2 linked regions of the Mus musculus genome follow. The protein of the gene in region 1 interacts with the protein of each later gene in a biochemical or structural test. Links are inferred from orthologs where the notes say so. Each region holds a gene or a part of one and is shown on either strand. Other genes may lie near its edges.

Region 1 (4,409 bases):
ACAGAGGTAGAGGCAAGTCCCCTGGGTGCTCAGTTGGGGGTGGAGGCAGGACATAAGTCTCCAATTTCCTGCCAAGGAACACTCCTGACCATCAAAGCCAAGGCCATGAATGGGCTGGAACATGGCAGGCAAGCCGGCAGGCAGGCACAGGGACAGGAAGGTTGGGGTGGGGGCCAGGGAAATGGGGATGGCTGGGCTCTGAGCCCTTGCTGCTGACCCTTCAGGCACAGGGAAAGCCCCTCCCCATCCTTCCTTCCTATCTGGTGGGAGCAAGGTCACCCTCTGAGAGAGGGCCACTAGGCCTCAAGTGACAGCTGCAAGCTGCTAGGAGACCCTGACTGAGAACTTGTAGCTGGAACTGTGGCTTCAAACAATGGGTCTGTGTCCCACCTTCCCCCTTAGCGGTGTATTTTGGGCTTTACTTCTGGGGCCTCAGTTTCCATGCACGGAAAGTGGGTTGAGTCTTTGTAAGGAGGTTAGCATTTGGTGTGGTCCTATGTGGGCACTCCCATGCTATGGAGAGGATCACCTGGGTTTCTATGACCTTAGGAAAATGACTCCTTGCCTTTATCCCAGGGCCTACCTGTTCCTTTGAAGGTCAAAGGAGTCCGGTGCCCAGTGCCAGCTCATATGTGGAATGACTTTAGGTTTCTCAGAACCTTGGCCTAAGGGCAAGGTCCTGGGGGTCTGCGGGGTTTGGCTCTATCCAGAAAGTAAGGCCCTGTGTCTGGTGTTCTGCTCAGCCCAGCCTGCCCTTGCAAGAGGAATGAACTTCCTCTCAACACAGTTTCCTACTTTTGCTGTGGGATTGTCAAGTTTGTCCCCGGAGCCTGCTGCTTGCAAACTCCTTTTACAGAGCAGTTCGGGGAACAGACCATAGGTTAGCCAGGGGCCTGATGTCCCTGGTCTGGCTGGTCTTTAGAGTGAGGCTTGGAGAACATAGGGGGTGTGAGCGGGGGGGGGGGGGGGCGGGGGGGGCGGGGAGGGGGACTGTGGCCAGAAGGGGCAGGCGGTTGAGGGGAAATGGAGGGCTTTAGGGGCAAGGAGAGGAAAAGAGTAGAGAGGGAGAGCAGCGGGAACAGAAAGAAAAAAAAAAAAAAGGAAACGCAGATGAGGGAGAGGGAGTGACGCGGGAGAGACACGGGGCGGAGTTGACAGGATCGGAGTAGGGGAGTCCGAGAGATTGAAAGAGCGAAACTCTGAGAGGCGGTGGAAGGCAAACGGGAGCCCAGAAACAGAACAGAGAAGGTACTAGAGCGAGGAGAAAGAGAGGAAGGATAACAAACAAGCGAGAGGAAGACATTCCAGGAGCTGGCCAGGAACCAGGAAAGAGGCAGGCAACTTGCGACTGCCCGGGTATCGGCCACCAGTGACCTCGGACCGCGGGGCGTGGCCCAGAGGCGTGGCCGGGGGCGTGGCCCGGGGCGAAAGGGCGTGGGCCAAGCTGCTGGGGCGGGGAGATGGGCTGTGGGCGTGGTCTCCACGGAGCCGCCCCCGGGCTGAGCGCCTCGCCAGAGTCGGGCCGGGGCGCCGGGGCCGGGGGCGGCAGGCGCGGGCAGGAAGCGCCTCGCGGCCCGGGCCCCCCCCCCGCCTCTCGCCGCCTCCGAGCTCCCGGCTCCCGGCCGCGCCGCGCCCCATGCACTCGCCGCGCCGCGCAGCCCGCGCTCGCCTGGATGGCTCGTCGCGCCGCGGGCGGCGCACCCCCTAGCGCCCGGGCCGCCGCGGCCGTCCCCTTGCGTCCGCGCCCTCACTCGCGGGGCCCTGGTCTGCTGCCGCTGCCTCTGCTGCTGCTGCTCGGGGCGGCACGGGCCGGCGCCCTAGAGATCCAGCGCCGTTTCCCCTCGCCCACGCCCACCAACAACTTCGCCCTGGACGGCACGGCGGGCACCGTGTACTTGGCGGCAGTGAACCGCCTGTACCAACTGTCGAGTGCCAACTTGAGCCTGGAAGCCGAGGCGACCGTGGGTCCCGTGCCGGACAGCCCGCTGTGTCACGCCCCGCAGCTCCCGCAGGCCTCGTGCGAGCACCCGCGGCGCCTCACGGACAACTACAACAAAATCCTGCAGTTGGACCCGGGCCAGGGTCTGGTGGTCGCGTGCGGCTCCATCTACCAGGGTCTGTGCCAGCTGAGGCGCCGGGGCAACATCTCAGCCCTGGCCGTGAGCTTTCCGCCTGCCGCGCCGACCGCAGAACCGGTCACCGTGTTCCCCAGCATGCTCAACGTGGCCGCCAACCACCCCAACGCGTCCACTGTGGGACTGGTGCTGCCGCCTACCTCGGGCACCGGGGGCAGCCGTCTGCTCGTGGGCGCCACGTACACCGGCTTCGGCAGCGCTTTCTTCCCGCGCAACCGTAGCCTAGAAGACCACCGCTTCGAGAACACGCCCGAGATCGCTATCCGCTCCCTGGACGCGCGTGGAGACTTGGCCAAGCTCTTCACCTTCGACCTTAACCCGTCGGACGATAACATCCTGAAGATCAAGCAGGGCGCCAAGGAGCAGCACAAGCTGGGCTTCGTGCGTGCCTTCTTGCACCCGGCGGTGCCACCGCACAGCGCGCAGCCCTACGCGTACCTGGCGCTCAACAGCGAGGCGCGTGCGGGCGACAAGGACAGCCAGGCGCGCAGCCTGCTGGCGCGCATCTGCCTGCCCCGCGGCGCGGGTGGCGACGCCAAGAAGCTCACCGAGTCCTACATCCAACTGGGCTTGCAGTGCGCGGGCGGCGCGGGCCGCGGCGACCTCTACAGCCGCCTCGTGTCGGTTTTCCCCGCGCGCGAGCAGTTCTTCGCTGTCTTCGAGAGGCCCCAGGGCGCCCCAGGTGCCCGCAACGCCCCGGCCGCGCTTTGCGCCTTCCGCTTCGACGACGTGCAGGCTGCCATTCGTGCAGCGCGCACCGCCTGCTTCGTGGAGCCGGCGCCCGACGTGGTGGCGGTGTTGGACAGTGTGGTGCAGGGCACCGGGCCGGCCTGCGAGAGCAAGCGCAACATACAGGTAAGCCATAGACCTGAGGGGCGTGTGCGGGGATACAGTATGCACGCAGATATCCCAGAGGATTGGTTACTGCCAGCGGTGCTGGCCCGGGAGCGTACTGGGTCACAGGTGCGCACACCTAAGTGGGGAGGTCTAGGTTGTCAAGGTACCCAGGTGTTCCCCGAAGACAGCGCACCTACAAATCAGCTCTGCAGGTGGGGGCCACAGGTGTGTGCTGAACTGAGAGAGGGGAGTGACACCAGGAGAGTGTTTAGGGAGAGTGCAGGTGCCCTTAGGACATACCTCTGCACCCTGGCAGATGTGTGATGGGTGTGGCACCTGGCACTGAAGATAAAGGGCATGTGGGTCGGAAGGGCTGAGTATGTGACAGGGACACCCATCGGAGATCCCAAGAGTGTAGACCTGCAGGGATGTAAACTCCCAGTGGGAGCCCGTGCCAGGGGACACTGTTATTTGGGAAGTGATTGGTTCCCTAGTGAGGCCACCTGGTTGGCAAACAGGTGTGTGCTCAAGGCCACCTCAACAAATAGCAAATGAGCAGCTAGCAGGTGGTGTGGCAGACCTGTGATCACAAATGCTGTGGGTTTTTAACTTAAGCCAGCCATTCTCAACATGTGGGTTGTGTGTGACCCCTTTGGAGCCAGACAACCCTCTCACAGGGGCTGCATTATCCTGCATATCAGATATTTACTTTGTGATTCATAATGGTAGCAAAATTACAATTATGAAGTAGTAACAATGAATTCATTTTATGGTTGGGGGGTGGTGGTCTTACCCAGCCTTAGAAAGGTTGAGAACCACAGACCTAGTGTGTGGTGTGTCAAATGTCTTCAGCAAGTGTGTTCTCATCCCTTTGTACATACAGATGAAGAAATGGGTGTAAGTTTTAAGGGATGCACAAACAGCTGAAAAGGAGCAGAGGTGGGGCTTGCTTGAACACAAGTTGTTTGGCCCCCTCATGTGTTCATGGTGCTGGGGCTTTGCGGCCTTACAGATGTGGAATGGGGGCATCCAGGCAGTCTGGCCGGACAAATGGAAGATGGAAAAGGAGTGAATCTTTGGTGGAGAACTATAGGGCTGAGGGTGAGGCGGGGCCTCAGGGTGGGCAGTAGCAAGAGAGCCAGGCTAGGGGATCCCCAAGTGAATTGGCCTTGGGTACAGCCAGTCCCCTCTAAGAATTTCACAACAGAACTCATTTTCTTTCAACCCCAAAATGACACTGAGTTTACAAAGGGCTAAGCCCAGCCTTCTGGGCTCACTGAGGCTCCCTGCCTTGTCCCTCTCTCTCTGTGGTCCTCAGGGGTAGCAAGACTATACCGTGGGCGTGCCCAACACTGGGGCTTTGAGCAAGCACAGATTCCTTCTCTTGGCAAAGACTCCCTCAGCCGCCTACCACCCTGCCGACTGACCCCTCACAAG
Region 2 (4,543 bases), on another chromosome or scaffold:
CATTTGAGTGGCTGGGGTTACTGTAAGACCACAGCAGTCCCTGCTGTCACTGCTGACTCAGAGTGGCAGGTGGCGGCTGTTCATATGGAAGCAGAACTGGTCCAGGGAAGCTGCTGTCTTGGACTCTGGCCCCTGGCCTCCTCACCATGTTCTTTAGCCTTGGGATTCCTGGGTTCTGGATATTCAAGGCCAGGACGGCCTCTCGAGCCCCCACATAGAGAGTGTTGCCATCGTCACTCAGGAGCAGCGTGTCAAAGTCTCGGAGGCCTTTTTGTTGGAAGAAGCTGAGGGCCCTGTGCCCGTCTCCTGTTGGGAGGCAATGACAAGGAGAGGATGAGAAGGAGCTGACCACTGAGGCAAAGGTGGGGGAGGGGTGGCAGGCCTCAGCAGCTGCCCCCCTTCACTGGCGGCACCCCCCTCCATTTCCTTCATCCTTCAACAGCAGGGCATCGGAACTTTGTGGATTGAGTCCCCAGAAGTGAAAAGTTCCAAAGACAGGGTAATGGTAGCTTGGGTACTGTTGGTGGTGTTGGGGGGAGAGCCTGCTCAAGACACAGACAGAAAATGAAGTGAGGCTAGAAGATGCAGTCTCAGGCCTGGGGGGATGCAGTGAAGCAGGATGGGAGGGGGAGAGCTGACAGGTAGACACAGGAAGGGGTTCTCAGCCACAGGCAACGGAGATAGCTGTCGTCCGCCTCAAGATTTGTCGTAGTTACAGATCCCTGCCACCCCCGTTTCCTCTGTCTCCTCCCCTCACTCTGCGATAGCAATTGCCCACCACCAGCAATGCCCACTGCAGCAGAAAAGGCTGCTTCCTCTCGGTTTCTGAGCCCCATCAGTGTGGGCATTCCTGGGAGCCACCTGGACAGTCTGAATATGTTGGTTAGTAGTGCATGTTCACTACATATCTTGGTGGTGGCATGTGTGCACATACACACACGTGAATGTGTGGGTTCCTGACACACTGGCACATCAGCAAGGAGGAAAGAGCACCTCAGATAAGTCTCTAGTGAGCACATGTGGACTTTTGCTTTAGTCAGAGGACAATCTGGCTGTTACTCTTTTGGCCTCAGGAAGCCTGGAAACCAAGAGGAATCCAAAGACAAAATGGAAACAATACTGCCTAGATTGGCTTCTCCTGAACTCTGAAGAGAGCTCATTGTACTTCCCCTTGAAACGCAGGCTTGTTTGTGCCTGCACTCCCATCCCACCCAGAGATGCCGCTCTATCCACCGACTGCTACATCTCCTTTACCATTTTGCCTCAGAAGGATGCTAAACTACATCCGTGAACAGAAGTAACTTACTTCTGTGTGTGTGTGTGTGTGTGTGTGTGTGTGTGGGTGGGTGGGTGTGTGGTATATGTGGCACTTCCCCTGGGGCATTTCCTGGAACTAAAGGTGTCAGTAACCGAACAGCCTCCTCAAGAAACCACCGAGGCTGGGTGAGCTGCTAGGATCCCTTCTGATGCCCAGTCTCCTGGACAGGATCTGGCCCGGTGTGACCTCTGCAGTTGGCTTGGGCCCTCCAGCTCCTCAGACAATCTAGAGCGAGCTTTAGCTTTCCAGCTCCTGGTACTGAAAAAGCAGTCAGGAGTTTAAGGCTCCTTGCTTAGTGACTGACATTTGAGGGAAAGAAAAACCACTGAGTTGGCAGAAAAGGGTCACAGTGACCCTTCCTTCCCTTACAGATCAACTTGTGCCTCAGGTGGCCTCTTCTTCTCCCAGCCCCTCCCAGGCTCCCTGGCATCTCTGTTTCTTCGTGCCATTTCGTCCCCTCTGGCACACCCTTCTCCTTCCTCAGCCCCTTCATCTCTATGGTGCCATCCATACCTCCCAGGTACTAGACACTTACCAGCATGGTATTTGACTCTGGGCATGGGCCCCTGACCACCAGTCCCAGAAGCAGGTGGCAGTGATGGCAGCAGGAAGAGTTGGAAGAAAAAAACACGCAGGAGACTCCATGAGTCCTGGCCCAGGGATGGTAGGGCCATGGTCAGCCTGAGATGGTCACCAGATGGTTCTGAGGAAACAGGCACTTTCTGGGTTAGCCATGCTTACCACACCCTTCCTGAGGGCCAATAGGAGAGCCCCAGGGGGCAGAAGTTCCTCTCTGGAAGGGCCCTCAGAGTCTCACTTCCATCCATCCCCAGCCTTGAAGGTGCCTCCTGCTGCCCTCTGCATAGGGTGCTGCTGTGGCCCACGCTGTGCCTCTGGTCACCTAACCATTAAAAAAACTACCTTGCCATTTCTCACCTGACTCACAGAAAAATTCCTTTCCACTTTGCCCCCTCAGCATCTCCTGGCCCCGTGCTCCAGAGCTCTGATCATCTCTGGCCCTGGGCAAAGGTCTTCTAGGGAACTAGTTCCTGTATGCAAAAGGTAGATTTCCCCAGGCTGGCCTGTGCTGTGACACCTTATGCCCGCTACTCACCCCAACCCAGGCAGACAGCCTACCCTCTCCTCAGCCCCCAGGGGCTCTGACTCTTGCTTAATCGGGCCCATCTAGCCTTCTTCTTAGGGATAGGGGCGTGCCAGTTTATCTACCACTGTGGTGGGGCTGCCCTCTGTATTTCCTGGGAGTGGCCTGGGCAGGAGTCCTTGGCAGACTCTCAACTTCTCCAGCCCCCCTGTCTGCCTCCCCAGAGCTCCGCAATCAGCCTCCCCCATGGCCACTGAATGCAGGTTCACACCCCTCCCCCGCCCCCGCCTCATCTCACATACCCTTGAGCCAGCCACACTGAGAAGTCCTGTGTTCAAACCCTGAATCAGGGTGCCATCCGAGGCAAAGAAGGGGGTCCAGGCAAGGCAAGCAGGCTCAGCCTGGCTGGAACGGGCGCGCGGCCCTCCAGGCACCCATCCTGCCAGAGCCAGTGTGGGTTTCAGGCCAGGGAAACCAGAATTTCTACCTCGAGTTGTGACAGATCCTGGCTGGCTTGGGCGGAAGTTGGTGGATCAGGGCGGGGAGACTGGTGGAGTGTGGGAGTGGGGGTGAGGCTTGAAGGCCTTGCAGGAGACACACCTCCCTCCCTCCTTAGTCTATCCAGAAATTAAGAGTTCCTTCCCGGCCAGTTCAGTGATGCCCTTGTTTCTCCCGCACACCACTTCCAGTCTAACCAGCCCAAGCTGCAGACTCCTCTTGCTCAAGAGAGCTCGGTATGACACCGTCTCTCTCCTATTCCTTCTCTCTCTGACCCCATTGTGGGGTTCCCCCACTGCCACATACTGAGACCTCCCGACCTCCCACACCCAGTAGGACCACATTCTTGAAAGATAACACGTTTAAAGCTGGCATGGTGGCGAGGCATACCTTTAATCCCAGTACTCGGGAGGCAGAGGCAGGCAGATCTCTGAGTTCGAGGCCAGCCTGATCTACAGAGTGTGCTCCAGGTCATCCAGGGCTATACAGAGAAACCCCGTATCAAAAAAATAAAAAATAAATAAAAATCCTACATTTGTATTAGTTTTTTGGTTTTTCCCTATGACTTTGCTGAGGAAGCCCTAGTAATTTGACGTCTCAGTGGGAAATTGGAGAAATTCCCCATTTGAACGCGTGCTTCTTGGGATACGCTTTGGAGCTGAAGCACCCAGCTGGCATGGTGGCTGGTTCCTCCTCCCCAAAGGTTCCAGGAAGACCTCATAACGCAGGGTTAATGAGTAACCAAGGGCTCCTAGGCCAATAAAGAGTGGTTGGGCTGCTGCCCACTCTCCCGGGTCAGCTGACTTCAGGTTAAAGAGCACAGTGACCCAAGCTGGTCTACCTCCAGGACATACCCTATCTTCACTGTAAACACCATCCTCACTGCCAGGATGGTCCCCACTGTAGGCTGTCCTCCACCCTTCCAGTTACAGCTCCTAGACGGAAAGCATTCCTCGGTAGAGCCTGCTTGGCCTTCCCTTCATGCTTTCCCCTCTGCTTCCGTTCTCCAGTGTGGCCCAGGAGCTGGGCTCACACAGACCCTCCTGATGGCTTCATCTGTCAAAGCTTGCTAAGACCCGCCCCCCCCCAAGCTCTCCGTTCACTGTGAGGACTTTGCCAATCTCCCTGTGCTGACACAAACTTCTGAGTCTCCTTGACCTCTAGATCAGGCTTGGGAAGCCACCACCTCAGGGCCTCTCTTTGGAGACAGATTGGCCTATCTGGGTCACAGGGAGGAGCTGTGACCAGAGGAGCAGCTCCAATGCCATCCTTCTTTACTCTCTTCCTGTCCCTGGGCGTCCTCAGGAGACCAAGTGCTCTCCCAGGCCCTCGGACAATGTGAGAAGCTCACACTTGGGGCTTCAGGCTTCCCAACTTCAGCAGGCAGGCTCCACTACAGTCTTGCTGCACAGAGAACAGAAGTGCAGCAGGGGTGACTGGACAGCCTGACGTCCATCCATCTACCTCAGACCTGTCTAATTCGGAAGCTCTCCCTACATGGCTGGCTCCTTCAGTCCCATCTCCTGCCCTAGTGCATTAGCTCAGCTCAGAGCTGCTCAACAGAGGGAGTAGGCAGGCATCAGAGTGGGAGGAGCAGGGGCTTTCTCTCCTCTAGCCAGGAACCA

Evidence for each region.
Region 2: the proteins of Plxnd1 (region 1) and Sema4a form a complex in vitro, tested with the Homo sapiens proteins (2 studies listed by IntAct, with this or other methods). The link is inferred for Mus musculus from reciprocal best matches to the Homo sapiens genes PLXND1 and SEMA4A.

What each region holds. Positions count from the first base shown.
Region 1 is NC_000072.6:115,992,070-115,996,478, reverse strand, and holds the start of Plxnd1 (plexin-D1 precursor), read left to right. Parts: upstream 1-1,473; 5' UTR 1,474-1,673; coding exon 1,674-2,990; intron 2,991-4,409. UniProt on the Homo sapiens protein: Cell surface receptor for SEMA4A and for class 3 semaphorins, such as SEMA3A, SEMA3C and SEMA3E. Plays an important role in cell-cell signaling, and in regulating the migration of a wide spectrum of cell types.
Region 2 is NC_000069.6:88,452,826-88,457,368, forward strand, and holds the start of Sema4a (semaphorin-4A precursor), read right to left. Parts: upstream 2,937-4,543; 5' UTR 2,723-2,936; intron 2,676-2,722; exon of another isoform or gene 2,433-2,675; intron 2,404-2,432; exon of another isoform or gene 2,298-2,403; coding exon of another isoform or gene 2,255-2,297; intron 2,022-2,254; coding exon of another isoform or gene 1,993-2,021; coding exon 1,854-1,992; intron 307-1,853; coding exon 146-306; intron 1-145. UniProt on the Homo sapiens protein: Cell surface receptor for PLXNB1, PLXNB2, PLXNB3 and PLXND1 that plays an important role in cell-cell signaling. Regulates glutamatergic and GABAergic synapse development.